Coturnix japonica: one gene and its partners. The protein of the gene in region 1 purifies or fractionates together with the protein of each later gene. This does not show direct contact. Links are inferred from orthologs where the notes say so. Each region holds a gene or a part of one and is shown in the gene's direction. Other genes may lie near its edges.

The links.
Region 2: the proteins of CAPZA2 (region 1) and TWF1 purify together in Homo sapiens (affinity purification with mass spectrometry; 3 studies listed by BioGRID and IntAct, with this or other methods). This does not show direct contact. The link is inferred for Coturnix japonica from reciprocal best matches to the Homo sapiens genes CAPZA2 and TWF1.
Region 3: the proteins of CAPZA2 (region 1) and SVIL purify together in Homo sapiens (affinity purification with mass spectrometry; 3 studies listed by BioGRID and IntAct, counting the BioPlex papers as one, with this or other methods). This does not show direct contact. The link is inferred for Coturnix japonica from reciprocal best matches to the Homo sapiens genes CAPZA2 and SVIL.
Region 4: the proteins of CAPZA2 (region 1) and KIAA1671 purify together in Homo sapiens (affinity purification with mass spectrometry; 3 studies listed by BioGRID and IntAct, counting the BioPlex papers as one, with this or other methods). This does not show direct contact. The link is inferred for Coturnix japonica from reciprocal best matches to the Homo sapiens genes CAPZA2 and KIAA1671.
Region 5: the proteins of CAPZA2 (region 1) and CRACD purify together in Homo sapiens (affinity purification with mass spectrometry; 3 studies listed by BioGRID and IntAct, counting the BioPlex papers as one, with this or other methods). This does not show direct contact. The link is inferred for Coturnix japonica from reciprocal best matches to the Homo sapiens genes CAPZA2 and CRACD.
Region 6: the proteins of CAPZA2 (region 1) and TNKS1BP1 purify together in Homo sapiens (affinity purification with mass spectrometry; 4 studies listed by BioGRID and IntAct, counting the BioPlex papers as one, with this or other methods). This does not show direct contact. The link is inferred for Coturnix japonica from reciprocal best matches to the Homo sapiens genes CAPZA2 and TNKS1BP1.
Region 7: the proteins of CAPZA2 (region 1) and WASHC5 purify together in Homo sapiens (affinity purification with mass spectrometry; 3 studies listed by BioGRID and IntAct, counting the BioPlex papers as one, with this or other methods). This does not show direct contact. The link is inferred for Coturnix japonica from reciprocal best matches to the Homo sapiens genes CAPZA2 and WASHC5.

Annotation. Positions count from the first base shown.
Region 1 is NC_029516.1:22,316,660-22,321,009, reverse strand, and holds part of CAPZA2 (F-actin-capping protein subunit alpha-2), read left to right. Parts: intron 1-807; coding exon 808-859; intron 860-1,521; coding exon 1,522-1,585; intron 1,586-2,143; coding exon 2,144-2,350; intron 2,351-2,840; coding exon 2,841-2,920; intron 2,921-3,860; coding exon 3,861-3,939; intron 3,940-4,350. UniProt on the Homo sapiens protein: F-actin-capping proteins bind in a Ca(2+)-independent manner to the fast growing ends of actin filaments (barbed end) thereby blocking the exchange of subunits at these ends.
Region 2 is NC_029516.1:27,259,625-27,263,075, reverse strand, and holds the end of TWF1 (twinfilin-1), read left to right. Parts: intron 1-1,194; coding exon 1,195-1,365; 3' UTR 1,366-2,587; downstream 2,588-3,451. UniProt on the Homo sapiens protein: Actin-binding protein involved in motile and morphological processes. Inhibits actin polymerization, likely by sequestering G-actin. By capping the barbed ends of filaments, it also regulates motility.
Region 3 is NC_029517.1:13,367,777-13,372,570, reverse strand, and holds the start of SVIL (supervillin), read left to right. Parts: upstream 1-1,407; 5' UTR 1,408-1,454; coding exon 1,455-1,527; intron 1,528-4,140; exon of another isoform or gene 4,141-4,599; coding exon of another isoform or gene 4,600-4,600; intron 4,601-4,794.
Region 4 is NC_029530.1:6,064,367-6,068,716, forward strand, and holds part of KIAA1671 (uncharacterized protein KIAA1671 homolog), read left to right. Parts: intron 1-1,012; 5' UTR 1,013-1,144; intron 1,145-1,648; 5' UTR 1,649-1,701; coding exon 1,702-3,311; intron 3,312-3,793; coding exon 3,794-3,890; intron 3,891-4,350.
Region 5 is NC_029519.1:58,449,048-58,452,725, reverse strand, and holds part of CRACD (cancer-related regulator of actin dynamics), read left to right. Parts: intron 1-143; coding exon 144-334; intron 335-1,174; coding exon 1,175-1,343; intron 1,344-2,829; coding exon 2,830-2,990; 3' UTR 2,991-3,678. UniProt on the Homo sapiens protein: Involved in epithelial cell integrity by acting on the maintenance of the actin cytoskeleton. Positively regulates the actin polymerization, by inhibiting the interaction of actin-capping proteins with actin.
Region 6 is NC_029520.1:7,738,311-7,742,660, reverse strand, and holds part of TNKS1BP1 (182 kDa tankyrase-1-binding protein), read left to right. Parts: coding exon 1-2,102; intron 2,103-2,644; coding exon 2,645-2,978; intron 2,979-3,213; coding exon 3,214-3,346; intron 3,347-3,437; coding exon 3,438-3,577; intron 3,578-3,765; coding exon 3,766-3,932; intron 3,933-4,350.
Region 7 is NC_029517.1:125,011,318-125,015,625, reverse strand, and holds the end of WASHC5 (WASH complex subunit 5), read left to right. Parts: coding exon 1-69; intron 70-180; coding exon 181-277; intron 278-1,183; coding exon 1,184-1,337; intron 1,338-1,583; coding exon 1,584-1,671; intron 1,672-3,055; coding exon 3,056-3,112; 3' UTR 3,113-3,429; downstream 3,430-4,308. UniProt on the Homo sapiens protein: Acts as a component of the WASH core complex that functions as a nucleation-promoting factor (NPF) at the surface of endosomes, where it recruits and activates the Arp2/3 complex to induce actin polymerization, playing a key role in the fission of tubules that serve as transport intermediates during endosome sorting.

The DNA of each region.
Region 1 (4,350 bases):
GGAGGTATTTTGTTCTTCAATTAAACTATGAGTAGGTAATTAATACCTAAACTTAGCTTGTAGTGTACTTGTGAAATGAACTGCTGGTGAGCAGCTTGTCAGCCCAGATCTCTGAAAGCAAATACAATTTATGCTAAAACTGCTATAAAGCCAGTTCATAGTTACAGCTCCCGACACAGTAATGCAGCTGCGTGTTTGATGATGACACATAATAACATCATAAATGTCCATCCAAAGACTGGAGTGTTAGAGTGCTAAGTATCAAAAGCATTTACATGCAATTCAGACTTCCTCCTTGAAGAGGGGGGAGGGAGAAAAGGGAGGGAGAGATCATTAAACCTGAAATCTCCTAGTTTATTATTATTATTATTTTCAATATAGAGAAATGCTTTAGATATTATGGGATGATATATTAGTGTTGTAGAGTTAAAATAACCACTACCATCAATACTGTGCAAGAGTTTTTTGTAGTTTATCTCTTAGAAGTGAACTTATTTGGATTGTATGCTGTTTACCTCTCCAAAAACTAGTTCAACAAATTCCTCTAGCTGTCACAAAGCCTACAGGGTATGGCTTGTATCTTCTTACCAGACTGTATTGGAAGGAATCCCATTTCTGTAGTGCGTTTCTCATTTAGTTCAGTCAAAATTAGAAAATATGAAGCAAGGGGTTTTCCTGCTTAGTTACTTATATGGTATGGGATGGTTTGGGTTTTAATTGTTTTGGGTAATTTGTTGCCATTTGTTACATGACTGGAACAAATCTTTGAATTAAATATACTTCTGTGTTATAAACATCTTCTTTCAGATGTTCGGTTGCTGCTTAATAATGACAATCTTCTCAGGGAAGGAGCAGCCCAGTAAGTACCAGCTGCCATGTACTGAATTGCATAAGAGTCAGTTCAGTAAGGCTTCCCTTAGCAATAAGTGATTTAAAAAGATGCTTTTGCACATAAAACCCTGTTGTGAGTGTTGTGCATCTTTGATTAAGATACAATATTTTGTATCCTGATGAGTTAGAGTAGCTGCTTTTGAAAGGGGTGACCTGGATTTTGGAATTTGTCTCCACTTTTCTTCATTTGTTTCTCTGTTTACTGGTAGATGTTGTAGATGCTAGACCTGCAGAAGTAGGAAAGACCCTATTTTTATATGAAAACATTATGTCTAAAGTATTACATGCCAGATTTAATTTCCGCTGCCAGAATAGAGACGTTTAATTGAATAGGAAGGAACTCAGTGGAATTTACATTTTCTGTTCTTTCACTTTCTGTGGGATACTGTAAAGCTGAAGTGTCTGTCTATATGAGGTTACTTTTGAATGTGAATCATTGTGTAACGATTGGAATAGCAATATCAGTGCCAAGCGAATCAAGGTGAGCCCATATTTTAGGGCCTGCTAAATAATGAGGCAGTAATATAATTCTTTTATCTAGATAATTAACTATTGTTTAAGTCTATTATATCTACTAAAGAAAAAAGCTCATGTCTGATGCAGGTTTTTGGTATTTTTTTCCTCTTGTAGTGCATTTGCACAGTACAACTTGGACCAGTTTACTCCAGTAAAAATTGACGGTTATGACGAACAGGTATGAATACAATGACATTCCTTACATTTTTAAAGATGTTCTGGTACTGGAACATACCTTGGAAAGCAAAGGAAAAGAAATGCATCTTCTCTACTAAAATATAGTATGTATATACTATGTGTATATAGTATAATATATATGTGTTATGCCCAACAATGGTACCAGTTTAGCAAGTTAGTCTTTTAGAGCATCTAAAGAGCTTGCAATTTAATTCTGTGCTATTGTCCTGCATTCAGTTAGGCCTAATTTGGAGCTGTGGGAACTGTTTACCTGTAGTACTTGAAGCCATTATAGATAATAGAGAAGAACTTCTAATTGAGTTTTCTGTGTCAGTAAGAGGGTAGTAATGTGGATTTTGATTCTGTGTCAGTGCTTCCTGTTAGCCAGTAACATACATTAACTCCCTTAATATACACAAATAGTTTGTTTCAAATGTGACTCTGAGGAATCTTCAGTTAAGTGTGCACTGTAACGTACAATTTTACAATTTGGTGTGATATATATATTTTTTCTTCTTTGTTTGATCCTGGTACAATTAACTAAAATTTGCTAACACAGGTTTTGATAACAGAACATGGTGATTTGGGAAATGGGAAGTTTTTGGATCCCAAGAACAAGATTTCTTTTAAATTTGATCACTTGAGAAAGGAGGCTACTGATCCAAGGCCCCACGAAGTTGAAAATGCCATAGAATCCTGGAGACATTCAGTTGAAACAGCAATGAAGGCGTATGTGAAAGAACACTACCCAAACGGTGTATGCACAGTAAGTCCTAAACTATCTGACCACTGCGTGGCATAGAATTAAATTAACAATTCAAAATACTGCTCTCATTAGTGCAGCCATCCTTTATTCTATGAAAAGTGCGAGGAGAAAGAGAAGAGCAATACCAGTGGCACTGCCAAATGTATTACAGATGGCCCTGAAGACTAGGTTTTCCACCATGACAGTATGTACCATGACATACTTCCATGACAGTATGTATGCTTGAAGTTTCTAGTTGAAAAAGCAAAAACAGCAACAAAAGCCTTTGCAGTATATACAGCTTAAAATACTTGACGTCTAGATTTTTCTAATCTTACTTTTCTTCTTAATATATAATCATGTTTAATGTACTGAATGTTATATAAGAATCATACTGATTGTAAAATAGAATTTTGCAGTTAATTGGAATGTATTCTAGGACTGGATAGCGCTAGGCAGTTCGAACAGCACAGCTGAAATGTTAACTCTGCTTTTTTCATTTCTAACTAAGGTGTATGGTAAAACAATTGATGGACAGCAAACCATTATTGCATGCATAGAGAGCCATCAGTTCCAAGCAAAAAACTTTTGGTAAGTTTTTGTATGGATACAAATGCAGTGAAATACAGTGTATTGAACAACTGCGCTATTGGCATTACACTGATTATTCTAAGGTCAGAGAAGTGCATGGATACCATTTGTGGTTCCCCACCAAGCTTTTCTGTCTGTACTATAGAAATCATTGAGTGCTCTGGAATCTACACGTAGCTGTAGTAGAATTGGATCTCAGAGTATTGAAGCTTTTCTTTAAGTGCAGACAAAACAGGAATCAAGATGTGGCCACAGTACCATCCTGACACAGCTTTAATGTACCAACCTTCTAACCCACTGACCTACTAGCTGAAGTGAAAATGCCTAATTTACAGGGAAGAAATCAGGTGAAACTACAGTCTCCCCATACTGCTATTCAGATGTTTGGAACTCCTTTAAGCAATTAGGCGAGATTATTGAGTTGGTTTCTACTGGATGGAAACAAGATGCCCTGGAACAGAAATTGTAGAAGAGCTAAAAGATCTAGTTAAGAGTTTCAGCACTAGCAGACAGTCTTGCTACTTTAAGGTTCCTTCCCTTCAACATTTTGTTAGCCTTCTGTGAAGTGTGGATTTGGCTGAGTTAGCAAATTTTCCAAGTCTTGGAAAGGGAAAAAAAATGGTTATATATGTCTAGTAATAAAGAAGGAAAGAACACTAAAGCCTTTAGATATTTTCAGAAGCTAAGTCCTGTTGTTAAAAGCTCCTTACTAATGAATGTCCTTGGTCTTCTTCCAAATCCTGGGATAAGTATTCCAGGAAACTGTTCTCCTCATGACTGGTTATGGGCTGAATATTTATGATCTGAAAGATATTGTGCATGTGTAGTTCTACTGGGTATTTTGTTCTTTTCTTTTGACTGACAGTCATATATTTTGTTGGGCTTTTTTCCCCTTAACTAATGAGGTGAAATGTTGGTTTTCGATTTTTATTTTTGAAAGGAATGGCCGTTGGAGGTCGGAATGGAAGTTTACAATCTCCCCTTCGACCACTCAGGTGGCTGGCATCTTGAAAATTCAGGTATGCTTATCCTAACTGTGTCCTGATGAATGAAGTACCCAGTTATAAGGAGAGACTTAGGCCAATGTTTTAAATATTTCAAGAGAACTGGGGAGCCCAGGAAGCCAAAGAGAGAGAACAATTTAGTTACGTATTAGCTGCTTAACTGCATATTTGTGTGATCATTGCAAAGTAACGTAATGATTCTGAGGGCTTCAGAAGATGTGCTTGTCTTTAATGGGTATATACCTGTTTCAGTTTTGTGGTTATTTCCTGTACAGGGAGCCAGTAGAAACTTGAATCCCACATTACACAGAGAAGCTTTGTGAAGGGCAGCCCCTTTCTGAAGGAGGGAATTTTTTCTTCAAAAGTGCTGGTAGCTTTTTTGTTTCATGTTGCCCACCTTGTTGTTTAGAAAGATAGGAGCCTTTG
Region 2 (3,451 bases), about 4.9 Mb from region 1:
TTTTTAATATCTAACCATAACTGTTTCTGCCACCGCTTTCTGTAAACAATTAAAGGTGCTGTATGGCTATTAAAGACCTATTTAAGAGCTTCTCCCGAACAAGAAATACTTATGAAGTGAGCTTCATGATTTCTACATAGTTTTAGTAAACCTGTTCTTGTGCAATAGTGTTTGAAAGTCCTCTGAAGGACTATTCAGAAGTAACGTGATTTCTTACTAAAAGGCCTGTCGTTCTTTGGATCACAGCTTGTTATTGCTGAACTCTGAATTCCTCAAGGCCAAGATTACGTAATGATTTTCAAAATGAAAGAAAGATGAAGCAGCAGTTCTGGAACTTAAACTGCATCTTAGGAGCCCTTGGTGGGGTAATTAAGGACTTAGGAGAATGCTGATCTTTCCACTGCAAAGATTATACTACTGTGCATAAAGAACAAGTGGCTTCTTACTTCCAGAGCAGAGACCACAGTAATGGTCCATCTGTGAAATATATGACCTGTTAACACTTCTGCTCTAAGTTTAGAATAATGTTGAATCTTGGTTTCTGATTATTGTGTCTACCTGAAAGAAGTTTTTACTTGAGTAGATATAATTGCTGCGTGGTTTTATATATCATTCCTCAGAAATTTCTTCATTAGAATGAGGCAGATATACCACGTGGTGCTTGAAACTCCTGTAGACCTCTTTTTGAGTCATGTACTTGCAATGGCAATACAGTGGCTGGCAAGTGCTATAGTTAGGGGGCCGTGAAATGCTGAATACCCACAGGGCAGTGCCAAAGCATTTGTCTGAACTCTGAATTTGTGTAATTAAAACCTGGGCTTTGGCTTCAAAACAGTGTTTTCTTTCAGGTTTACATTCTTACATTTAAAACAAAACAAACAAAGAAAAATCCCAGACTGTTAATTAAATTTGTTTTAGCTTTTATCTGGCTTGAATACTTGCTGAGTTGCAGTACTTCATTAATTGCGTGAGTTGTTTATACTCCTCCCTTTTGTTCTCAAGGGACAACAATATATATGCGTATTGCTTTCACAAGAGTGATTTTTTTTAATGCATTTTACAATGGAAACAAGTTTGAGAACATTTCATGCTGGACTCTGAGTATTACTGCACATATGGGTTTTAATATAGCTCTTAGAGCAGAATGTCTGCGTTTTATTATGTCTTGAATGTAACTGTTTTTTCTTTTTTCAGATTGAAATAGATAATGGTGATGAGTTAACTGCTGACTTTCTTTATGAAGAGGTTCATCCGAAACAACATGCACATAAGCAAAGTTTTGCTAAACCAAAAGGTCCTGCAGGAAAGAGAGGAATACGAAGACTCATCAGAGGCCCGGCAGAGACTGAAACACCCAGTGATTAGAATCTGTTGTTTGAATTAATTGTAGGGTTTTACAGTAAGAAAAATGAAATTCTGACTTTTGCCAATGAACTGAAACCATTCCATTTATAGATGCTAAGGAAAAAAACGTTCCTCCTACTCTCCCCTCTTCTGAACTCAATACTTCCTGTGTTGTTAGACCATTATATTTGTTGACCGTATTTTACAACACTGGGAACAGTTAATTATTTTAAAGGCAGAAAACTAAGCTTGTACTCTCTCGCTTTAAATTAGAATCCATTATTTAATAGCAAATCACAGACAAGACTATTAAGCCCACATTTTCTGTGGGTAAGTAGCAGCTCTATGCTTAGATAACGAACCTGCATTTCTATGAGCAGCCTACTGATATCTGCAAGATTTCACTTGTATGAAGAGTTGAAGCTGTCATTGTCCCAGATAAATCTTTATTTTTCCTGGTGGTTTTTATGGACAATAACGCAACAGAATGTTTTGTTCTGTTGATGTGGTGAGTTGTTGGGTTTGGGTTTTTATACTAGAAAGATTAAAATCCGTTATCTGTTAGTTTATATGAGTACTTGTTCAGGAATAGCTTATTTTAATTGCTTCCTGTGCAAAAGCACAGTCATGACGAATTTACAGCTAATTTGGCGGGTTTGTCTCTTAAAGACATCTGACATAAGACCACTACAGCTTTACCAGACTTTGATACCACTCATCAGCCTTATGTATTACTGAATGACCAAGTCAAATGTGATAAAATGTGCAGTCTCTATACTCAGTAAATTATGGAGCTGCTTTCAAAGCAATAAGCTTAAAGTTTCTTCTTAAATTATTGATTTTCTACACACTTGGATCTAGAACTGCAAGCTCAGTAAAAATGGAAATAGACTTGCTTCGTAATGGTGACTTATCATTGAGATCCTGGTGCTCTTGCGTTACCAACTGCAATATAAACTTGTAAGGTATTGTAAAATTAAATACTCCTAAATGTTTGGACTTTAATAGTAAATTAAATCTTTAACAAAATCCAAGTAGGGGATCCAAGCACTTTGGTAGCATTTTATGGAATTTGGCTGTTTTTTCTGGTTCTCATCTAAATGACGAAGTCAGCCAGAATAGTCTGAACACCAGTAAAGCACGAGCCATCTGTTTGTTAGGAAGAGGAAAAAACAGATGATTTTAAGAAGGAGGTTGAAGAAGAAATAGTCTCTTTTCAGTGGTATGTGAAGACAGGACAAGGGGAAATGGACATAAGCTGGAACATAGGAAGTTCTGCATGAATGTGCACCAGAACTTCTTTACGGTGAGGGTGATGGAGAACTGGAACAGGCTGCCCAGGGGGGTTGTGGAGTCTCCTTCTCTGGAGATATTCAAGTCCCACTTGGATGCCTACCTGTGTGACCTGGTGTAGGGAACCTGCTTTGGCAAGGGGGTTGGACTCGATGATCTCTAGAGGTCCCTTCCAACCCCTACAATTCTGTGATTCTGTGAAATAGATGTAGAAGTCAAATATTGGATGAACTTAAATGTTTCAGAATGGTGTAATGAGGCAAGTACTAAAGGCTGAGTTATGGGGACTTGCTTCTTAGTGTCCTGTATTGAGCTTTGTAACTTTGATTATTTTTTTTAAAACTACCTGGGAGTTGCAAGTCTTGGATCCCTGCATACAGGTGTCCAAATCATTTGTTTACCAGATGGAAGGTAGATTTTAGAATAGTTCCATAGGGAAATAAGGCTTAAACACTACTAGTTCCTGATGAAAGCAATTTTTTGTCTCATGTTATTACGTTACTTGGAGATGCTGACTTGTTATTGACATTTGACATTGCACTATGTAATATGAAGGTTGCAATAGTTGCTGGTTTTATTGTGTGTTTTTTTCCCCCCAATATGCAGTAGAGATCTGACACCTCAGCTTTCTTCATTTAATCTTATACACTACATCAGCCCAATTCAGAAGCTCCTGATGATCCTCTGCTAATCTCCTGCCCTCAGCTGCTGCTTTCTTTTTCTGCCTCTTGCCTTTCTCTTTAGGGCAAGGAGCAGGTCTGAAGAATTTTTCTTCTTGTGTACTGTATGTCATACAAGCATTATTGTTTTTAGA
Region 3 (4,794 bases), on another chromosome or scaffold:
CATGTCTCTTTTCAAAACTTTTCTTGCAGTGTACCCCTGAAAACATCAGAAATCTTCATGTTTAGGAGTATTTTGTTTCCCCCAGACTGTTGGTGTGGAGCTGTGCAGAGCAAGGGAAGGTCAAGAAATGTGGGAAGTGATGACTCAATTATTGTGCTTTTGCTAATTCCTTTGAACTGTGGATTCTAAATTCACTGCTGCCTTGCAAACATTAGTGTGTGAGACTTGCAACTGATACCTGTTCTAAAAACAGGAGGGGAGGAGAGGGAGCTGTGTTTATTTCAACAAGCACAAGCAACACTTCCAAAATACACTTGTGGTTGTATCATAGTTATGAATCTGAGGTTATCTAGTGGTGAGCAGCGTGATGAAATGGCAGCCTAATATGTCCATGCTTTATTTGGAAAACGTAGTTCTTATCAAAAGATGAAGAACACCAGTGTTTCATTCACTGTGTTTGTTGAATCTCTAAGTGCAGATACCGTGTCTGTCAACACCTCATACTGTGAGATGCAGGAACTCGCCTTTCACAGCTGCACAGTAAGTTCTTGAGGATTGTGTGGCATAGAGACAAATGTCCTCCACTTTCTCTCCTTCCGTGTGTGTTTTTTAGTCTCTCTTATTGTACAATCAAAGTTAACAAAGGAAGGAGATGTCTCTTAATCAGATAGAGTTGCATTTATGTTGTGTTATGGTTTGTTTTTTTTTAAGACTATATTATCTAACTGGGGTGGTGGTTAACAGATAGATTGTAACAGCTTTCTAAATTCTTTGGGCAGAGCTGAGCTCATACCAGCTATTATATTTAAGAAGCCCTACAGATTAAAAAACAAACAATCAAACAAACAAAAAAAACACAAAAAACAAACATAAAAAACTCTTTCCTTACTGCAGAGTTTAACCTATAGAGTTTGGGTGTGCACCTTTGGTAAGACAGCTATCCTCCTATTTAAAAATAAAATGGATGAGTAAATCCTCCCTGGCAAACCAGGGATCCTCAGACTGCGGGTGTATGTAGTTTGCATTGAAGAGAAACTGCCTGGAGGGCACAGGCTGTGGCATAAAACGTATGTCCTTATTTCCACAGCCATGGAACTGGGGCTGGGGGATGCCTTTCTGCTGCCCACCGCTCCCAGTTCAGAGCACAGGCACTTGTTTGGCCCCGTGACAATCACGCCAACTGCGGCATGTGTCTGATAGTGAAACAATGAATGGCTTGTTCTCTCAGAGGAACAAAAAGTGGGTTGGGTTGAAAAAAGATAAATAAGAATTTCTCAGTGGGTCATTTTAGGCTCTCACGGCAATTTGAATGTGCTGAATGAGTGGCTTCTGAACTGAGCCAATGGGGGTGGTCAGGCACAGGCATCACTTTTATCCCACACGGGGGAGGAGGGGTGAATGAGCTGGAAGATATAAGCTGAAACAAAGCCATGCAGTCCTTCTGAGTCATTCGCATGCACTGGATGGGTAAGGCTTCCTGCTTCCTGGGACGCAGAAGTGGGGTCATGATTCTAACAATGGATGCTGGTAAGTCACTTGTTATTAAATTTGTCTTTGATTTTTCTGGGAAATCTCGCCTTTCCCTCTTGTCCCCAGCTGCAAAAAAGACAGTTGTAAATTAGGAAGCTGAATGTTAAATAAAGACGTGCCTACTTTAAGCTGTGTGCACTCTACTGTGTGGTTTTTCTTGACTGTTAGTCACAGAAGCACATAACCCCAAGACCATGGTACCAAAGTTGTGTTTATTCACTCCTCCATCTGTCTTCATTGTGGCCTGTGGAGTAGTATCATTTTTGTATGATACAAGTCAGATTTTACACTTTCTGTAAAGAGCTAGAGACAAACTAATGTGCTGTCAGTAGCTTGTTTTACTTTGTGCTTACAGAAATCTTGTGCTGGGGAGGAAGGGGAAGAAAGTGCTGCATTCTCATGACGATCAGTTCTGTTTTGTATGTTTATAGCTCAGGAAATATGTGTGAAAAGAGCACATGCAGGATTTTTATTATTATTTTTTAATTTACCATGGAAGTGAAATCTTTAACATAATACCCTGTGTGATAGGGAGGATGAATGCCAGCAGTAAGATATAGGGTGGTATGTCTAAAAGAAACAAGGAATCCCAGTTGTCCTCCTTGAGGAGGGGGCTGTGTTTCCATATCATAGCTCGCATCCTTTAAATTCCTCAGCAAAAAAAGGTTCTAAGATGTTAAATGGTTATGGGTAGGGCATAAAGTGCCAGCACTTGTGTTCTGGCAGTGTGCTGACGATTGCTCTTTCTCTTACCAGTTGCAAGCATGCTTGCTGCATTCTAAGAGCTCTGTTGAACTTTTGTCAGCAATTGGTTCAGCTACTTTTCCAGCAGTGTGCAGAAGCAGCACAATGTGACAAGTCCTACAGGCAGCATTCAGAGTGATGAACTTATTCAGGCACATCTTGCAGGTCTGTTCAATCTACTTGTCACATGCTCAGTTTAGTCCATGCTAATGAAAAGCTCTCTGTCCCCTGTACGTCTGAATTAATTTGTTTGGGCACTTGCTAGGGCCTAAAGGGAAACTGCGCCCACATCCAACTGACTTTTCTGAGACTTGCTCAAAGTGACAAAGCTGGGCTCTCCATGCACTGTTTGAAGGAAACAACAAACCTCTTCATTTAACCCACTCACACTTAATTGAAGTTACTTTGTCATCCACTGTCACTGCAGACAGTATTGAAGGCAGTGACTCCTGTCTTCGATGTATGTTGCATACTTTGCAAAGCCCAAGCCCTTTAATTGAGATAATACGATAAACAGAAACTCAGTGAGGAGTGAGGTAGCATATAGCTGACAAAGGGGTACAGACTTTTCCACGATGGACCTATTTTTTATGTTTTATTTGGTCACTTTGATTAGCTTCTAGAGGATCCATATTTCTGGCCCTTCCTAAAGCAGTTTGAGCACTGGGAGTTAGTAATGCTCTTCTCTCTGCCTTGAGCAAGAAGAACCAATGTCGGTGCTAGACGTTGCTCCTGCTATTACAGGAGGCAATGTGCAGGTTGAAAGAGGTCCCAGCAAATAACAGATTCAGACTTTGTGAACAGGGTACATCATCTCCTTCGGAGTCCTGGAGTTCCTGCACTGTACTGGAGTAATTTAACTCTTTGTTTTGGAAAGACTGAGGNCCAGACAAATAAGCACAAGCAGCATGCTGCATTCTTGAAACCATCTTCTTCTAAACAACATGTACATGGAAACTTAAAAATACATCTGTTGTTTATGTATCCTTACGTACTTGTGTGCTGCTGCTTTGCACCGTGAAGTGAACCATAAAGATAACACTGCTCATCTGCCCTCCCCCGGATCCAAAGGGTGTCTCCTTTCAGCACAGTGCCACTGCACCGAGTGCTCGGGGTCGCAGGGCTCTGGCAGCCCTCGGGGTGCTTTTCATGGTTCTCTTGACTTACATTGTTAGCAAGAACTCATTTTGGAAGCACCCAGGTGTTGAAGAGTTCTGAAATTATAGTCCTGAGCTTCTTGGTGGGAAAATGGTTCAAAATACTAGAAAGGAAACACTGTAACATAAGGGTTTAGCAGTGACTTCTGGTGCTTTGCAGTTGTGTTTAAGTTACGATAAAAATATGCAAGCAATTCAGTACCTTAATCTGGGCCATGGATAGGGCGCCATGAAGTTTTATCTGCTTATTTTTACCCACCTTTAAGGCTGAGCCGACTGTTCTTGGTACTGTTTGCTTACTTCAGACTGTATGTTTGCATTACGAGTTGGGGCTGATTTAAAAAAATTACTGGCAATAAATGCTGAAGATGTTTCTAATACAGCAAAACCTTTTCTCCTTAAGAGGACTATAAAAATACATGCTGGTTTGTTTCTGTTTTTATGAAACATGTTTTATTCTGTCACGTTTGTCCCTGCAGCATTTAATTTCTTGTAGGAGCGGGACTTTAAAAGTTGTGGATGGGGGGAATAAAAAGGAAAGCTGCAAGACAGAGCTGACAGTATAATTGGATTTGAAGCAGCTACAGGCTGGGACTGTTGCAACAGCTGATTTGATCCTTCTGAGTTTCAAGAGCTATTTATGGTAGATTAGCTGTATCAAAGCTCTACTGTTCCAACCATAAAAGGCCGGTCCTATGCGAAGTTGCCACACTGCATTTGGCTTAGTCCTCCGAGGTTGGAGAGCCTATAGCTTTTTATGTGGATAAATCCAGTGATGGATGGAAGTACTAAAGGCAGATCGAGGAGTAACATTGTCGAGGACTTCAGATGGCAGCGAACTCTTAAAAGGAGATTTTCACTAATAAATTTTTTGTTCTGATGTTTGGAATCAGCGCTTGGAATATAGCTCCTGCGTGTGCACTGCATTTGGTGAACGCGTGCTTTTAGGAAAGCGTTGTTCTAAATTTATCTGACTTATCTGAATCATCTTGACTGCACATGTACTCGCCAGCCTTGCATGTTGATATCTGGTAACTTTGTGAAGTCACTTTTCCGTTTTATTAGCGGTGAGCATTAGTCCTTTGGAAAGGAACCTTAGCTGAAGGGAGAAACTTCTCTAAAACAAGAATCATGAAATTCTTGGCTCACGAACACTGCAAGAGTTATCAGTAAGTATTTTGAGAAGTCTGACCCCTTCTGCTGCGTCTGTACCTTCTTTCTTTCCTCCTTTGCAAAAGGGGTTTTTGCGGGATTCTGAAGTAAGTCGTATGTCCTTCGCTGAGCGTGCGTGTGGCCGCGTGGGCCAGTTGTCTGAGGCTTCATCAGGTTGAAATGCAAGTGGGTTTATTCCAGCCTGTGCATG
Region 4 (4,350 bases), on another chromosome or scaffold:
GTGGGTGTCCCTGTGCACTGCAGGCAGTGGGAACAGCCTTCAGGGGTCCCTTCTATCTCAAACAGCTCTATGGTTCTGTGAAACCAGCAAGTTGATTTCTTGCCTCTGCTAGCATCACTCTTGCTTTCAGCACTGTTCCTCTTCTGCTTTTAGGGCATAGCTGCTCTTCACAAAGCCTTTCATCCTTGGAATGTTGAGAGCATTTTAATCGGATTTTGATGGTGTTTCTTAGAGTAAGGAGCAGGAGAGGGAGGAAGATTTCATGAGGATCTGTGAGATCGTGGAAGGAACAGATTGATCCCGATAAGCTGATTGGGTTGGGGGCTATTTTGGAAAGAAGAGGTTGCAGACTGGAGGGGTTTGGGGTGAGTGGTTGGGAAAGCAGTTTGAGTGCATTGGGAGGTGAAGGGGCCTGGCAAGGTGAGCTGGAGGGGAGGCTGCTGCTGCTGGTTTTCCTTCATCTCTGCAGTAAGAATGTGATTAAAGGCAGAGCTAATCTCCTGCCTTTATCGGGGAGGTGTAGGAAAAACTGCTTTGTCACTGTAGAAGCTGTGTTTATGTTGAAAATGGGCCATTTGAAGGTCAGCCTGCAGGTAGGCCTTCCCAATAATGTTGTCGCAGAAAGGAGATTTACAATAGAAAGTAAATTACAGTAATTGAGATTACGGTAACACAGAGCTCAGTGTTTAGCCAGTGGTTGACAGCACTTGAATTTGCAAATGGTACTCATTGAAATGTGGATTTAACTGTGTTTGCGTTTAATAACTATTGTGCTGACCAAATTATTTACCCTTCACAGTTGCAGGTGATTCAGGTGGTAATTTCTTGTTGATTCTTTAATAACTGAAAACTACACATTCACTTAATCCATATGGTTAAATCTGGTGCCTTTGTTTCCGAGCAGGAGCCAGTTTTTTGCCTTGAAATACTCTGTATTTTTGTCTCCAGTGGTATTACCTGTGTAGATCTGATTGCGTGCCATGCCACACTCTGAATGTTCTCTGATTTGCAGGGAAGGTCTGATCTGTGCTGCTGAAGTGACCCCTTTCCCTGGTTCTTAGTGTGATCTTGGCAAACTCCACTTTTCACTATGAGAAGTGAGTGGGCTCAGATCCATCAGCTGCAGCAGAACATGCACATCACGGTGAGTAGCAGCAAGGCTTTTGGAAATGCATGGGATATGTGTTTGTTTCTGTTTAGCTGCAGGTCGTAGCTAATAAATAAGTTTCAGTCATGCTGACCTCCATATTTTTGGTAGTGTGAAAGGATATACTTGCCAACTATGTGTATTGTGAAAAGGAGTGGGGTTTGTACGTTGACATGGGGAAGCCTGCTTTAGAAATAAATGATCCTTTTAAAGCAATTTAACCCATGAAATTTGCTTGAGTATTGATAACTTGGTGCTGTACAGATGGGTTTGTAGGTTTTGCTATGTTTTTTGTTGGGCCTAGCTGATGAATCATGGTGTGTTTTGCTGTTTGGTTTTTTTTTCTTCCTAAGAGAAATAAGCTTTTTGTTCTGTGATGCACCTGCACATTTGAAACACACCTTAATTTGAGCTTAGCTACCTCCCGAACTCAAGTTAGAATTAATTTGTTGGATGTTTGTACCGACTCTACAGCAATGCTTGTGTTTTCTTTCCTTGTAGGTTCTCCTTCTCTGTTGGATTTTTTCAGTTCTGTTGAATGTATAATTACAACTATGGCAACAAGAGTTGAGATAAACTCTACTTTGGCGTCTTTGACGACTGTGCCTGACTTAAATGAGATCAGAACTGAAGATAAATCACAGCGAGTGTATGTAAGTGTGCTCTCAGATGTAAGCAGCAAAGCAAAGGAGCCTTCAGCATCGCTAACGCTTGAAGAGAAGAGCAAATTTGGGAGCACTCTGAGATCTGCAACAATGCCGTCGCTGGGATCAAGGCCAAGACTCTTCCCCAAACCTTTTTCTAAAGATACGCCTTCAGATACTTTTGCAAATGTAAAACCACCTATTACGTCTTTTAGAACAAGCAGTCTTATTAGAAAGCCTTCTGAAGAAACCACGTCTGCCAAGGTATCAGCTGGAAATGTTCCTCCGTTAGTAGATCAAAAAGTCATTGGAAATGAGAGCAAGGCTGGTGGTGAAGTCGTCACAAACATGACTTTCTATAGTGGTCACAATACAAATACTGTCATTCTTTTTGAGACAGCAGGCACGGAGCAGTCAAAGGTAAGCCTGGCCCAAGGAAAAAGGGCTGCTGATGACCACAGGGTGTTGAGTACTATACAGACAAAAGAGTCTCAGAGCAATGTGAAGCAGGAGAAACCATCTCAACCATCACATGAGACATCCAGGAGTCCTGAAGGGTCTCTTCACAGGCAGATATTGCTTTCCTCCAGTGTTCGACCAGTCTCTTGGAACTCCCTCAAAACTGGAGAAAAGAAAGATGCTCCTGAAGATCGTTCAGTGGAGAAAACCAACACTGATGCAAATAACATAAACAATAAAGTGGGTATCTCTCTTGATGTGCAGCAAAGGCCAAAACCTAGACCAGTATCTGCTGTTTTTCTGGAATCTTTGAGAGATCAAACGCATCGTACTGTGGAAGCTTCAGAGGAAAAGTCTCCTACGGAGAAATCGTGGGTTAGGAAACCAAGGCCTTTGTCTATGGACCTGACGGCTAAATTTGAACTTAAAGACCTCTCTACGAGCAAGAAGGCTTGCTCATCCCATGAGAGCAAGGAGACTGTATCAGTAACTTCTTTTACTGACGTGGGCAGCCATGGTCAGTCTGAAACGGGGCCAAAAACTGAAGAAATTGAATTTAATAAAGGCAGCTCTTCAAAAACAAATTTGAAATGCAGTAGTCAGGAGATTAGCATCCTAAATAAAGGAAAACACACGTGGGAAACAAAGCAGAAATCTGAAAGCGAGCAAACTGAGACAAAACCAAGCATAGTGACTAATTTGTATAGTTCTGAGAGAGCCTTTGAAAGTGCCGGTGAAAGCAGAACAAACAGGGAAGGGAAGAGGTTGGATCAAAAGGAAACGTGTGTGTTTCTCAGCTGTGAAAGCCCTGCAGCTTCCTCAGAGAAGGAGAACAGCATCGTAAGAGGTAGTGTTAAGAAACACATCAGTTTGTTCACGTCAGAAAATCCTGGTGCCTCTGTAGATACAGAGACTCTCCCATCGGCTGCTGAGAGGGAAAACAAGTGCGTGAACATCCAGCAGAGAATCAAAGAACTTACAACAGAAAGCACTGATGCTAAGCCAGGAAATCTTCGTAGATCGCTTCAATCTCGACCTCTTTCTGCAGACCTGACAAAGATGTAGGTTTCAGAAATATTCTGCTCAATTCTCTTGACTTCATTGACTTCCATAATTCAAGGTCAGGCAGGACCAGGCTCTGAGCAGCCTGATTTGGATGTCCCTGTGCATTGCAGGAGGTGGGACTGGGTGACCTTTGAGGTTCCCTTCCAGCATTGGAATGAAAATATTATTACTGAGGCATGAGAATGTTAATAACTTTTTTAAAAAACTATTTTACATTATCATGAATTACAAAAATCTTATGCTATACCATAAGCTACATTGCTGCCTGAAAAATTGTTAGTCCTTTGGTCTAGATGCAGTAAAACCACTGAATACCATTAGTTGTGACACTTAATAGCAGTGTTTCCTCCCTAGGAAGTATACTTTCTGGGTGATTTCTTTTTGGGACAAGATGATGTATCATCAGTCTGCTTTGGTAGAAAGTGTAAATGTTAACCATCTGGATCTGAAAGAACTGAATGAAGCTTTTTTGCCTTAGGTTTTCAAGTCCAACATCATCGACCAGTGAAGTAAAGCCTGAGAAAGCTGCTGAAGTGAGGAACAACTCTGGGAGCGAAATGCAAGAACATCAAAAAGTAAGAAAATGGCATTGGCCGATATAGGCTCTAGTTAGGCTTGCCTTTGGAGTGTAAGGAGCCCTATACTATGCATCCGGTGCATCTTAACCAGTCAGTGACTTTAAAATGGGCATCAGGAGTATTAAGAATGGCATAATCCTAATAGGTTTACTTGTGTAAGTCTATCTTTAGACACTGGATGGGGACGCGCTGCTGAAGTAAGGGAGGATGGTGTTGAGCTTTTAAAAAGTTAAATGTGCGTGCTGTTAAAGGCATGCAGTGGTATGAAGTGAAACATATTGTGTACTGCTTTAATGGAACTTTTAGTGTATACAGACAACGGCTGTTGTTGTTCCATGTAGCAATTAGCCTTCATTTTCTGTAAGGATAGCATGAATTTCCACATCTGAGTCACAATTCCTTATGACGTGCTGCGTGTTTCTTATCAGTCTCCTAAATCATGTTTAGTTTAGCAGTT
Region 5 (3,678 bases), on another chromosome or scaffold:
TGGTTCAGAATCTGACAGACAGTTCCTAAATGTCTGTGAATGGCATACAAGTCCACGAGCAGAGTTTCACAAGGTGGGAAGTTGTGCTGGCTGCTTGAGACAATGAATATCCCTTAATCAATTATTTTCACGTTTCCTTTCAGAAAAACCAGTCCTTCTAAGCAGACACTCTTTGGATGGCTCTAAATTGATGGAAAAAGTTGAAGCTTCACAACCACTATGGATCACATTAGCGCTGCAAAAGCAGAAGGGATTTCGTGAGCAGCAAGCTACTAGGGAAGAGAGGAGACAAGCCAGAGAGGCAAAGCAAGCAGAGAAGTTGGCAAAAGAAATTGTGAGTATCTTTAGAAATACCAACGATACCATTAAAAGTATGAACTAGTTGTTAACTATGCAAAGTATTTGCACGTGCAGTTGGTTTGTAAGGCTTCATAAAAACTAAGATGATAGTGGGTAAAAAGCAGCTTTAAGGACTGGAGTTCCCTTTTGTAAACTCCAGTAGGAAGTAACGTGCAACATCGTGACAATCAGTATAAACTCTGATGCCTTAATATTGGGGGCGTGGGAGTTAATGGTAATTGTAAGCCTGCCCATTGTGCAGCTGGTGCAGCTGAATGGTATGCAACACAGTTCTTTCAAAGCCTGAGTACTGCAATGCTCATTTATAGATGAACATTCATGTCTGAATTCACTTCTATCATAATACTTGGATACCAGACAGATGAATGAAATGAACTGTCTTACAAAACCTTCAGGTGCTTACAACAGGCCATACAAGCAGTGATGCTGTATGGATGGTAAAAAGGGAAGTGGTGTGGATAACTGTATATTTTAATGTCTGTGATGAGATCTACATTTCTCACAGACAGATCCATAGTCAGAGACATATACAGCAGTGGGTGTGAAGTCGCCCTGTTCTTCTGTGCTCTGTGTAACAGGTAGGGTGGTTCATACTGTTCAATATTTTGACTGAAGTGACACATTGAAAAAGTTAATTCTTTTATGAGCTTTAATAACCATCATTTCTAGAAGTATCAGAGCATTTGGATCCTTTGCATGAAAGGAAAGCAGAGGAAAGGACAAGCAATGAATGAAAGAATCAAGTGCGACACCTCTTACTTGTGGTTGCCTTGTGACAGACTGTTTCTCATTTACCACTTTTCCTCTGTTCTAGGCTGCTGTAAATAATCAATCAGATAATAAAAGCGGCAGCAGCAGCAAAACGAGCACACTGCAGAAATCTACAACCCAAGAAGGGGAGAAGAAAATTGAGACGGCTGTGTCAAGACTAGAACGAAGGGAGCAGCTGAAGAAGTCTAACACCCTTCCAACTTCTGTGACAGGTACAGATTCACCTTTGCTCTAGCAATAATACAGTTTTACGAGTGGTATTGCATGTTTTTGAGAAGGCCAATGATTTTATTCCTCTCTTCCCCCTACTATTACAAACGCATTTGTGTTCAGCACAACTCGCTGCAGTCTCATAAGCTGCCAGCACATGGTTTTAACTTGGTGTTCCAAGTTAATCTGAGGCAATTCTGAAAATCTTGTATAACTTAAAAATAAAAAGACCAATAAATGAGGCTCTTTCCCCATACCATATGCAACAAGTGTTCCTGGAACAAGACTGGTGAGCTTAAGGGAACATGATTTGCTATAAATTGCAACTGTAGAATTGTTTTGCCTCTACTTTGAGGGTTTGCTCCAGTGCAAGTGGTGCTGAGCCCCTACAAAACGCATCTGTGTGGCAGATAAAGCACATCACGTTCTTGTATGAGTACTCATTTCATGCCAAAATACAAACACCAATTAAATGAAATTGAGGGTATTGAGGGATTGTCATTTTGAATTTAGGATTTGTCTCTCTCAGCCAAGTACCTGGTTTGAACAGCTGGAACCAGAAAAAACTTACTCCTTTACTCATCACTTAGATAAACTGAAAAAATTGTGCATTCAAAAACAGATACATGAAATCCCATGACCTTTGGGAAGTAACTGTTGCAATGTTAGTTCTAGGCAAAAGGTTTTGGAGAGGAGTACAGATAGGTAAAGATTAAACCTTTTTATAAGCTACGCTGTAAATAATGAGGGCTTCTCTGAAGGTAAATAGAGGAATCAGCTGAATTTCAGGAGGAAAATCACTGATTTTGAATTTTCCTAAAGGGAAAGTGTAGAACTGTGCTGGTCGTAAAGGAAATAATGACTGGATATCCATATGATCACTGTCTACGGTTGGAGTCAGGCAGCCATTATCAACAGCACAAATATAATATAAGCCAGTATGTCTATGCTATGAATGGTAATGCACTGGTTTGGGTTTCCCACAGTGAGTAGGGTAGTATAAGCAGAAGACCAGGCTAGAAAATGTTTAAAATAGGTTTGCTGAATTCTCTTCTAATGTCTTAAAGTAAATAAATAAATTATAGTAATTGAAAAATGTGATCTATTTCAGGCTTGCACTTGAATCTTCTGCAACAGGATCTGCTAAAGAGAGTATAGCTTTTAAAATAGCATAAACTACTGCAACCTTTCAAATTATTGGCTTTCAGTGTCTGCCTACAGCAGTAGCTGCAATTTGAAAACTTTAAAATATTCAGAATGTGAAAATGCATCTAAAAGTAATTTGGACTGAGAACATTTAACAAAGCTTCTGAAAAAGGAAATTCTGCTCCTTCGTCATCTGATTATTTTGCATATAAGTAAGATTTAACTATAATAGAGTTGGAAATGAGTATTTTGTTAAATCAGAACAACTTAATAGAAATGAATTCTCTGAAATTCTCCCAACAGAGTTCAACTGAAACTTGTTTTGTTTCCTCCTCCCCACAGTGGAAATTTCAGATTCTGTTCCACCAACACCACTGGCAAAAGAGGTGGCCAAGAGATTCTCCACACCTGATGCAAACCCTGTGTCAACAGAACCAGCCTGGCTTGCACTGGCTAAGAGGAAAGCAAAAGCCTGGAGTGACTGTCCACAGATCATAAAGTAAACTGTAAAATGGCATCTCTATTGCTGCCTATTAACTGCTTTCTTTTTATTTATTCAGCTTTTAAACACATGACAAAACTGAAAATGCATGTATCGGAGGACTGGAAACTGAACCGATTACCATTTTGCTCTAGCTCACTGTAAAGCCTATTCAAGTCCATATATTCCATTGCTTTGACAAATAGCTAAGTGAGGTCACAAGAAATTTCAGAGCCAGTCTCTCTAAAAATTCAAGAATGCTCAAATACTGGATGAAAATTTTAGCCAGTATCATAACAAGGGGCAGAACTTCAGCAGCTCCTTAAATTCTCTTGAATTTGGTTCTGGAATTTTAGATCTCTGCAGTTAAGTGGAGATTTCAGGAAAGTTTTTCAACAGTCCTCTGTTGAAAATGAATGCAAGATGCATGTTCCCTTCTCTTACTTCTAAATTTTCTTAAGTGTTAAGCTGTATGAACTGTCAGTAGTTCTACCTGCTATTTAAAAGCGTCTTACCTAATGAAGAATGTTGGTAGACTTCTATCCACCTGCAAATGATAAATAAGGTGGTACCATTCAAATGCTGAGCTATCATGGGATTATTGTGTTAATATCCCCCTAGTCCTAAGAAGAAAACAATTCATCCAACTTCATAAAAAAATTACTCATTATGCTGAAGTCAGCAAGTTTTCAGCAAGAAGCCTCTACTCT
Region 6 (4,350 bases), on another chromosome or scaffold:
CGGAAGGACCTGTGCAGTGAATTCGGTATTGGGAGATCTCATCAGGCTGGTGCTTTTGACTGGAGCCATAAGGCTGTGGCCAGACAGGGGGACTGGCCTGGTGAGATGGAGCAGGATCAAAAGTTCAGGACCAACTCAAGCAGGAACAACAGTTGTGGCATCAGTGATATGAACCAGCAGGATAGAGCCTTTGGTGCTGCTGAGAGGGACTGGAGCAGCAATTACAAAGGGACAGAACTGATGGGTGATACGAGGCTTGGCAGCAGTGACTGGTCCAAATCTCACGGTGCGAGGGAAAGCTGCCTGCAGGATCAAGACTTCAGCAAACCTACATGGGGTACTGGGTATGGCTTGGACAGTGCAGGCAGCAGAGAGGAGGTCAGCTCCGGGAAGGCTGAATGGGGCAGTCCCTACAGTGTGGGACATGGCCAGCAGCAGGACAAAGAGCTGAGCTCCAGACAGCCTGGCTGGGCTGGCAAGTATGGCTCTGGGGACCTGGAGGCCCATGGTGAGGATGCTTCACCTGTGTGGTCTACTGAGTATGGAACCGGTGATGCAGACATCAAGGACAGGGAGGTCACCCCTAGTGACTGGGCCAGTAAATACAGTAGCAGGGATGCTGAGACCAAGGACAAGGATTTTACTCTAGGCTGGGCTGGCAGATCCAGCACTGGGGACGCTGGGACCCCGGACAAGGAGTTCTGCTCCAGCAGATCAGCCTGGGACAGCAAATACAGTACCAGAGACATGGACAGCCAGGACAGGGAATTCAGCCCCAGCAGACCAGCCTGGTCTGGTGAATACAGCACCCAAGACATGGAGAGCCAAGACAGAGAGTTCAGCCCCAGCAGACCGGCTGAGGCCAGCGAATACAGCAGCAGGGACATGGAGATCCAGGACAGGGAGTTCAGCCCCAGCAGGCCAGCCTGTGCTGAAGAACACAGTACCAGTGATATGGAGAGCCAGGATGGGGAGTTCAGCACCAGCAGACCTACCTGGCACAGTGAGTACAGCAGCAGGGACATGGAGAGCCAGGACAGGGAGTTCAGCCCCAGCAGACCAGCCTGCACTGATGAATACAGCACCAGCAACACAGAGACCCAGGACAGGGATCTCAATCCCAGCAGACTCACCTGGCACAGTGAGTACAGCAGCAGGGACATGGAGAGCCAGGACAGGGAGTTCAGCCCCAGCAGACCAGCGTGTACTGATGAATACAGCACCAGGGATATGGAAACCCAGGACAGGGAGTTCAGCCCCAGCAGACTGGCTGAAGCCAGTGAATACAGCACCAGAGATGTGGAGACCCAAGACAGGGAGCTCAAATCCAACAAACCAGCCTGGGATGATGGATACATCACCAAGAACATGGAGAGCCAGGACAGGGAGTTCGGCCCCAGCAGGTCAGTCTGGGCCAGCGATTATGGCTCTGTGAACACCACAAAGGGAGAGTTTAGTTCTAGCAGGCTGAGCTGGGCTGGTGAATGCAGCATTGGCCAGACTGAACTGGCTAATGCTTTTGGTGTTGGAAAAGACTTGCCTGGCTTGTGTGCCCCCAGTCGCCCAGGCCATGAGTCCAGCTGGGGCAGCACTGACCAGTCGGAGAGTGGCACCAAGGACTGGGCTGAAGAGCTGCGCCTTGGAGGAGCTGAACACCAAAATCAGTTTGGCATCATTGGGACAGAGCGAGTGTCAGATTCCTCCAGCACTGCAGTGTCAGCGGACAGCCTGATGTCCTGGGCAGACAAGATGAGGTCTGAGGTCCCGCAAGAGTCCCGGCAGCCCCTGGAAGACTGGCACAGTGATCTCTCCTTCAGCACCTCAGGTGTTACTGGTAAAGCTGATGAGGGTGAACCAAACCAAATGGCCTGGGATGAGGGCCTGACAGCTGTGGGCAGCTCTGCCCAGCCCCAGCAGGCCAAGGTGGAGGAACCAGGCTGGAGCCAGGACCTAGAGGAAGCTGGCTGGAGTGAGGAGCTGCGTGAGGCTGAGGCCAGGCGCCAAGAGTGGGCCAGTGCCTTTGGGGCCCGCTGTGCCGCCAGAAGCCAGGACTTCAGTGCTGGGGAGCAGAGCCTGGGAGGTGATGACGGTTCAGCAGACAGGTAAGGAGGGTCTGGGTGGTGGAGATGGAGTCTGGGAGGTGCTAGCATTCCCTTGGCCTCCTGAGAAATTGGCAGAATGAGCCCCGTGCCTTTATCTTACCAAGATCTGGGGAACCCCACGCTCTAATTTCAGCCATACTTGAGCTGGGGATTTCCAAAATGATACATTTCCAGAAGCTGCTGGAATGTAAGGATGCCAGGAGGACAAAGGCAAAACTCCTGCTGGCCTGGATAAGGCCTCAGCCTTGTTCACATGCTGTGGTGTGATTCTCTGCTGGTCTTAAGGGAAACTTCCCAGAAGTGCCACCTGTTGGTGTGCATCTCATTTGGCCTTTGGCAGTTGACATCCCAAAGTAGGGGGAGAGTCCCAGACACCTGGGTTTTGTCTCGGGCTCACCCACATTCACAGGAACAGTGTTTGGCCTTCCCTGTGCCTTAGTTTCCCCTGAAGGCTGACAAAGGGAAATTGGGAGAGATTTGGGGCTGGGGAAGGGCTTGCTTGCTGGGGCTGGAAGAACTGTGTCTTCTTGTCTTCCTACCAGGAGCCCTGAAAACATCCATCTCTCAGACTCCAGCCCACCACTGGGTGATGATGCTGTGGCTGAGCCTGCAGCTGCTGAGCCCCTCTGGGGTGAATCGGCTGCCCCGCTGCCGAGAACAGATCCCATGGAGCAACAGGACCTTCCTGAGCTGGCTGCTGCCCCTTTGCCACCAGAGGCTGCTGGTGAGACTCTAGAAACAGTGAGCGAAGAGACCCCTTCGGACCACCCAGATGGGAAGAGACCGGTGAGCTGGGAAGAAAAGAGGCTCTCTGCAAGTGCCTCGCAGCCCGAGGGACTTCTGGACCTCTCTGGTCAGGATTTCACCTTTCTTGAGGTGAGTGGGGAAGAGGGAGCTTCTGACTCCCTCCTACAGCCCTAAGGGAGCCCGGTGGTCAGGGGGATGCAGAGAGAGGCTGCAGATGCAAGGCCACTGTATACTGTAGGAAGGCAGTCACCATAAGGGATCCATAGAAAGCAGTGGAATGGATGAGTGGGTGGATGGAGTGGATGGAGTGGAGACCCTGAAACTCCTCTGTGCTGGGCACTGAGCTGTCCCTTGGGCTTTGCAGGACACGGAGGTTCTGGACAGTACCATGTACCGCAGCAAGGCCAACCTGGGCCGCAAACGGAGGCACCGAGCACCTGTTCTCCGCCTTGGGGCCACTTCAGAAGGGGACAGTTGGATCTTCCAGGACTCCACAGGTGAGAGCCTGCAGGACAGTGAAAACAATAGGATAGTGGGATGGGGTGTTGTGCTCTTAAAGATGTCTCACAGTGATGCTCTCCCCCACAGAGCCCCGTCCAGCCCGTGCAGCAGCATCCTCTGATGAGGAGGCAGCAGAAGAACCCAAGAGCCGGCGGGTGCGAGCATCCCCATCGGGCAAGGGTGTCAAGGTGCCACTCTTCCCTGGCCTTACCACATCTGCCCTCAAGGTAAGGCCTGCTGGAACTCCAGGCAAGCAGATGAAAGGGACATGATTTCTAAAGGGTGGGCAGCAACAGGCAGGCTGAAGGACAGTCCAAGTCAGGCAGCATGGAGAAAGAGGGAGAGGATGCAGTAGAAGGATGTGAGGATGGTAGGGGGTGAGAGCACTGTGTACCCATGTGACTTCATCTCCCAGGCCAAGCTGAGAGGTCGAAACCGCTCTGTCGAGGAAGGAGCATCACCAATGGACAGCAAGGCAACTCCCACAAAGGATCCCCATGTACAGCGCTCCAAATCCTGCAAGATCCCTGGCCTGAGTGGGAAACCCCTGGTGCTGCCCCCTAAGCCTGAGAAGTCTTCAGGGTGAGTGCTGGGCTCAAGGGACAGTTGTGACGATGCTGGGTGGATGTGCCAGGTCAGGTGTTGGTGTGGGACTATGGACGTGCTGGGGACATTGGGGTGGGTTGCGAAGGAGTGGGTAAAATGGAGGTCTCAGAGGCATTGTGGGCAACGAAGCAGTGTTAGTGGGGTGATTGGAAGTACTGGGGGCTGTGCTCAAGTCCTACAGCTGCTGGCTCTGAGGAACCATGTGTTCCAGGCTGGTATTTGTGGTGCTGGCAGTTGGCCGGAGGCTGGGACGGACCTTGGGGCTGGAGCTGGGAGCTGGAAGTGAGGCTTACTGGGACCAGCATTCTCAAGCCCTGTTGCCTGGGAGAGCCGGGCTACTCCACCCTAAACAGTACTTGGGCCGAAGCCCTTAAAGCCATAGCTGACTCAGCTG
Region 7 (4,308 bases), on another chromosome or scaffold:
GACAACACTCTTCTGTATGAAATCACAGCTTACCTGGAAGCAGCTGGCATTCACAATCCATTAAATAAGGTCAGGCTGACATTTGAGGGCTTGATGTAATTTGCTTTTCTCTCATGTTGTTAATTGAGGGGGAACATGTTATGGGAAACGTATGTCCTTTTTATTTTCCTCTCTCCTCAGATCTACATCACAACAAAACGCCTGCCGTATTTTCCCACTGTCAACTTCCTGTTTCTGATCTCACAGTTTCCAAAACTTCAGTACAGCAAAAATTTAGGTACTGTACGGGTTGTCCACTGTCTGAATCTAATGAAAGCCTATGTGAAACCATCTGCCAGCTCCCCATTAGCTGTGTGGTTCAGCATAGTGCGGTATGGTGTAGGATGTCCCCTTGGCCCTGTCCCTTCTCAGCTACTTGTGCCCCCCAGCTCCTTCCTGCAGGGCAGCGTGAGAAGCTGAAACATCCTTGGCTCAGTGTAAGCACTGCTCTGCAGCAACAAAAACATCGGTGCTATCAATATTATTCTCATCCTGAATACACAGCTACTACGTGGCAGCTACTAGAAGGAAAATTGACTATCTGAAAGGTGCTTACAGTGAGAGCAGGGCTGGTCTCTTCTCACTGGTGACAGGAGACAAGATGAGGGGAAATGGCCTCAAGTTGTTCCAGGGTAAGTTTAGGTTGGATATCAGGAAAAACTTCCTTACAGAAGGGGTTATTAAGCGCCAGAATAGGCTCCCCAGGGAGGTGGTTGAGTCACCATCCCTGGATGTGTTTAAAAACCATTTGGATGTGGTTCTCAGAGATATGATTGAGTGGGGGGTTGTTAGTTAGGGTACTATGGTCAGGTTGAGGATGGACTCAATGATCTTTAAGGTCTTTTCCAACCTGATTCTATCTCTATGATTCTATCCTAGCTAAAACCACGACTTAGTAAAACAAAATAAAGTGGTGCAGGAAACAACATCCAAACTTCTGCCTTTGCCATTCCACCCTATGCCTTTGTTAATGTCCCTAAGCCATTTGCTGTGAGAGAAATACAGTCGTGACGTTGGTTTTTGATTTTAGTGTGGACAGGCAGAACAGGCCCAGAAGAAAATCTTATGAAAATACATAACGCGTTCTGCCCCCAGGAATAGGCTGCTTTATAAACATGTGCTTTGGGGTTTGTTTTGTGTGCAGGCATGGTGTGCAAGCGGCCAGCTGATCAGATTGACTGGCTTCCCTTAGTTCTGGGGCTTCTCACCTTGTTGAAACAGTTCCACTCAAGGTACACGGAGCAGTTTCTGACTCTGATCGGTCAGTTCATTCGTTCAACGATGGAGCAGTGCGTCAGGTATCCACATTTCACTTTTCCTTATGTCACCTCCACTAAGGGCTTCTGCTGCTTTTTTCTTAGCGTAGTACATTCGGCGTAATAATACTGTTTGACTTGAGTCTAAGATTAAAGTGTGTCTCTTCTTGTAATGGAATCACGTGGTATGTAATGGAAAAAGTATTGTGTGAAGCTTGGCATTTTAGTAGAGTGTTACGCAGGGAGCCACGTGGTAAGATGGTGGTCTCCGTGTTTGCTTAACATTAGCCAGAAGATACCAGAGATGCCTGCTGACGTGGTGGCTGCCCTCATGTTCCTGGAGGATTACATTCGCTACACAAAACTACCAAGGAAGGTAAGAACAAATTCCCCGTCTCACTGGGTGTGCTGTCCTCACTGAGCTGCAATGTGTCTCTACGTCTGAACACAGCAGCAAGAGAAAATTCAGGGAGCTGGGGGATGCCCATAGGGGATGTTAATGGATGTGGCAGCTGATGGTAGAACAGTTTCTACACCAGCTTGAATCTGCCTGGATTCTTTTCAGACCATTCAAGTGCTATTCACTGCAAGGTTTTGTTTTTTTTCTCCCTTCATTCTTACAGGGGGCTGAAAAAAAGCTCTGATGAGGTATTCTAAATAATAGGTGTAGTTTCTGTTGGAAAGAGACTCGTACACGTTCTATATGGAGCCCTATTCTGGGGAACTAAGTTTGGTTTATGCCACAGCTGCATACCTGAAGCTGTGCCTACTTTAGAATATGGCATCATTTGTAAATGAATCTGTAAATGAACATCCAAAACGATGGGCTTGCTCGGAATGTCCAGAAGCAGCCTTTACCCTTTGTAGATGTTCTGTCAAAGAACACCAAACTAAAATAGAGATGAGAAATCTGTTACCTGACAGGAATGGCTCAAAATGGGTTTCTTTGTGTCTGTGTAACCAAGAGCTCTGTACAGCGTGTGTTACTTCTGTGCTTGGTGTAACCTATCTTGATGTTAGTCCTTGTATCTTTATGGAAACTGTATTTTTCTAGAAGATTCAGAGAGGGTGGAAAATACAGGAAGGATTTTCTGTTTTGTATGGACTGGAGGAACAGCCTGTTTCCATTCAATCTTCTCATTGCTGGGGGGCTTTCAGGAAACGAAAAGAGAAAACCAAAGTTCTCAGATGTTGTGGAATGAAATAATAACAAGTGTAGCAACACTCTGAGTCTAAGGCTGAGAGCTGTTCAGGAAGTCTGAGTCTCTGGCCCTTCGTTGCCTTGCCTTCCTTCCAAAGAAGCAGGGCTTCCTGTGCAGCTTCTGTATTTCACGTACAAGGGAAGTTCTAAAAGTCTTTGCTTGTAGAGACACTTTCTCTTGGATGCAGTGTGACTTAACGGCATTTGAAGATGCAAAAATAATTTACATATGAGATTACAAATAAGGCATAATCCGATCTGGTCGAGTCCATACCTTAGTTAAGAAAAGTTGCTGATTCCTAGCTGTACTTTGGGCTAAAAGGGAGACTCTTCCAGTCTTACCCTCATTCCCCACCTCAGCCTGGTGCTGTCTGGAACCTCTGGGCCCAACAACCTCCCGCAGCTCTGGACTTGCTCTACTTTACATGCCTGGCACGGTGCTCATTCCTTGTTCAGGTCAACAGGCTCACATGCTCAAATGGTAGATTAAGAATGCAGCATTAACGGACAAGCAGAACACATAAACGAACAGTGAACCTGACCAGCTCCTTTCCTTTAGGTCGTTGAAGCACACGTGCCCAGCTTCATATTCGATGAATTCAGGACTGGTCTATGAATATGGAGAAGGACCAAGGCTGAAAGAAGGGACTGAAGATGAGAAAAGTACAGCTTTTCCTGTGCTTTGAGACAGCTGCAGGTGCTGCCTCAACAAACTGCAACCAGCAGCCAGCCGCTGTCATTCATGCTTGTTTCAATCTTGGCATGATCTGCGCTGAATCTCATCCCTGCTCTGCACATTATAATGGTGTACGCAGTTGTTTACGTATCAATCTTTTAGTTTTTTGTTCTAAATAACTCTTTGTGGAAACTGGACTTTTGTATCGCAGATGAGCAACGCAATTGGAAATAAAGAGATTGAAATGTTTGCTGGGACTGGTGAGTCCAGTTTCCTTGTTAAAAGGATGGACTGAGCCTTTGTTATTAAGGCAGTTGTGACTGATTTCATGTTTCAGGTTGTGTTTGAGTTAACTCGGGCTGCAGCTTAATGGCGATGTAAATTACTACTGTAACTCAGTGAGCAGAAAAACCAACTGTGAGGAAACCATTAAGGAAAATGGGGGTTCACAGTTCAAACGTTCCTCCCTGGGATTTATCATTTCCAGGTTGGATGAGGCAGCCTGAACCAGGAAGGGGCCAGCAGCCCATGGCAGGAGTTGGGGCTGGGTGGGCTTTAAGCTCATTCTGACCCAACTGTAACTCCATGAAATATGTTACCAGGAGACAGAAGTGCTGTGCACAAGTAAAAGCAATCTGGGTACAAAGAAAACCACAGTAACTCAATCAACACATCCTGTTTCCACTGCCAGTTCCTGGGTTACCGCACGGCCACAGAGAAGGCCCAGCTGTCAGCTTACAGCAAACCCTTCAACACAACATGGGAACCTGGAGAGCAATGAGCCCAGACACGCCGAGGCAGTAAATCATCCCTCTTGCCCGTGGTTTGTGCCTGCAGAGGGATACATGCTGCAGTGCGATCATTGCCAGTGAGTGGCATTTCAGTCCTGCACTGGATGAAGACCGAACCTCACACACATCATAAAGCAAAGCAAGAGTTGCTCAAGGTTGAAGCACGCCCACCACATTCTCAAACAAGCAACCCAGCTCCTGCTGGGTCCTCCTCTGCAAGAGGAGCTACACCTGGGAGCCCCACATGGACATTCAGGCTCTCAGTGCTCACTCAATCAAGGCCGTATCATATGAAGTTCATAAAACATGCTGGGACCTATTGTCTGCTCTGGCACAACGCTCACA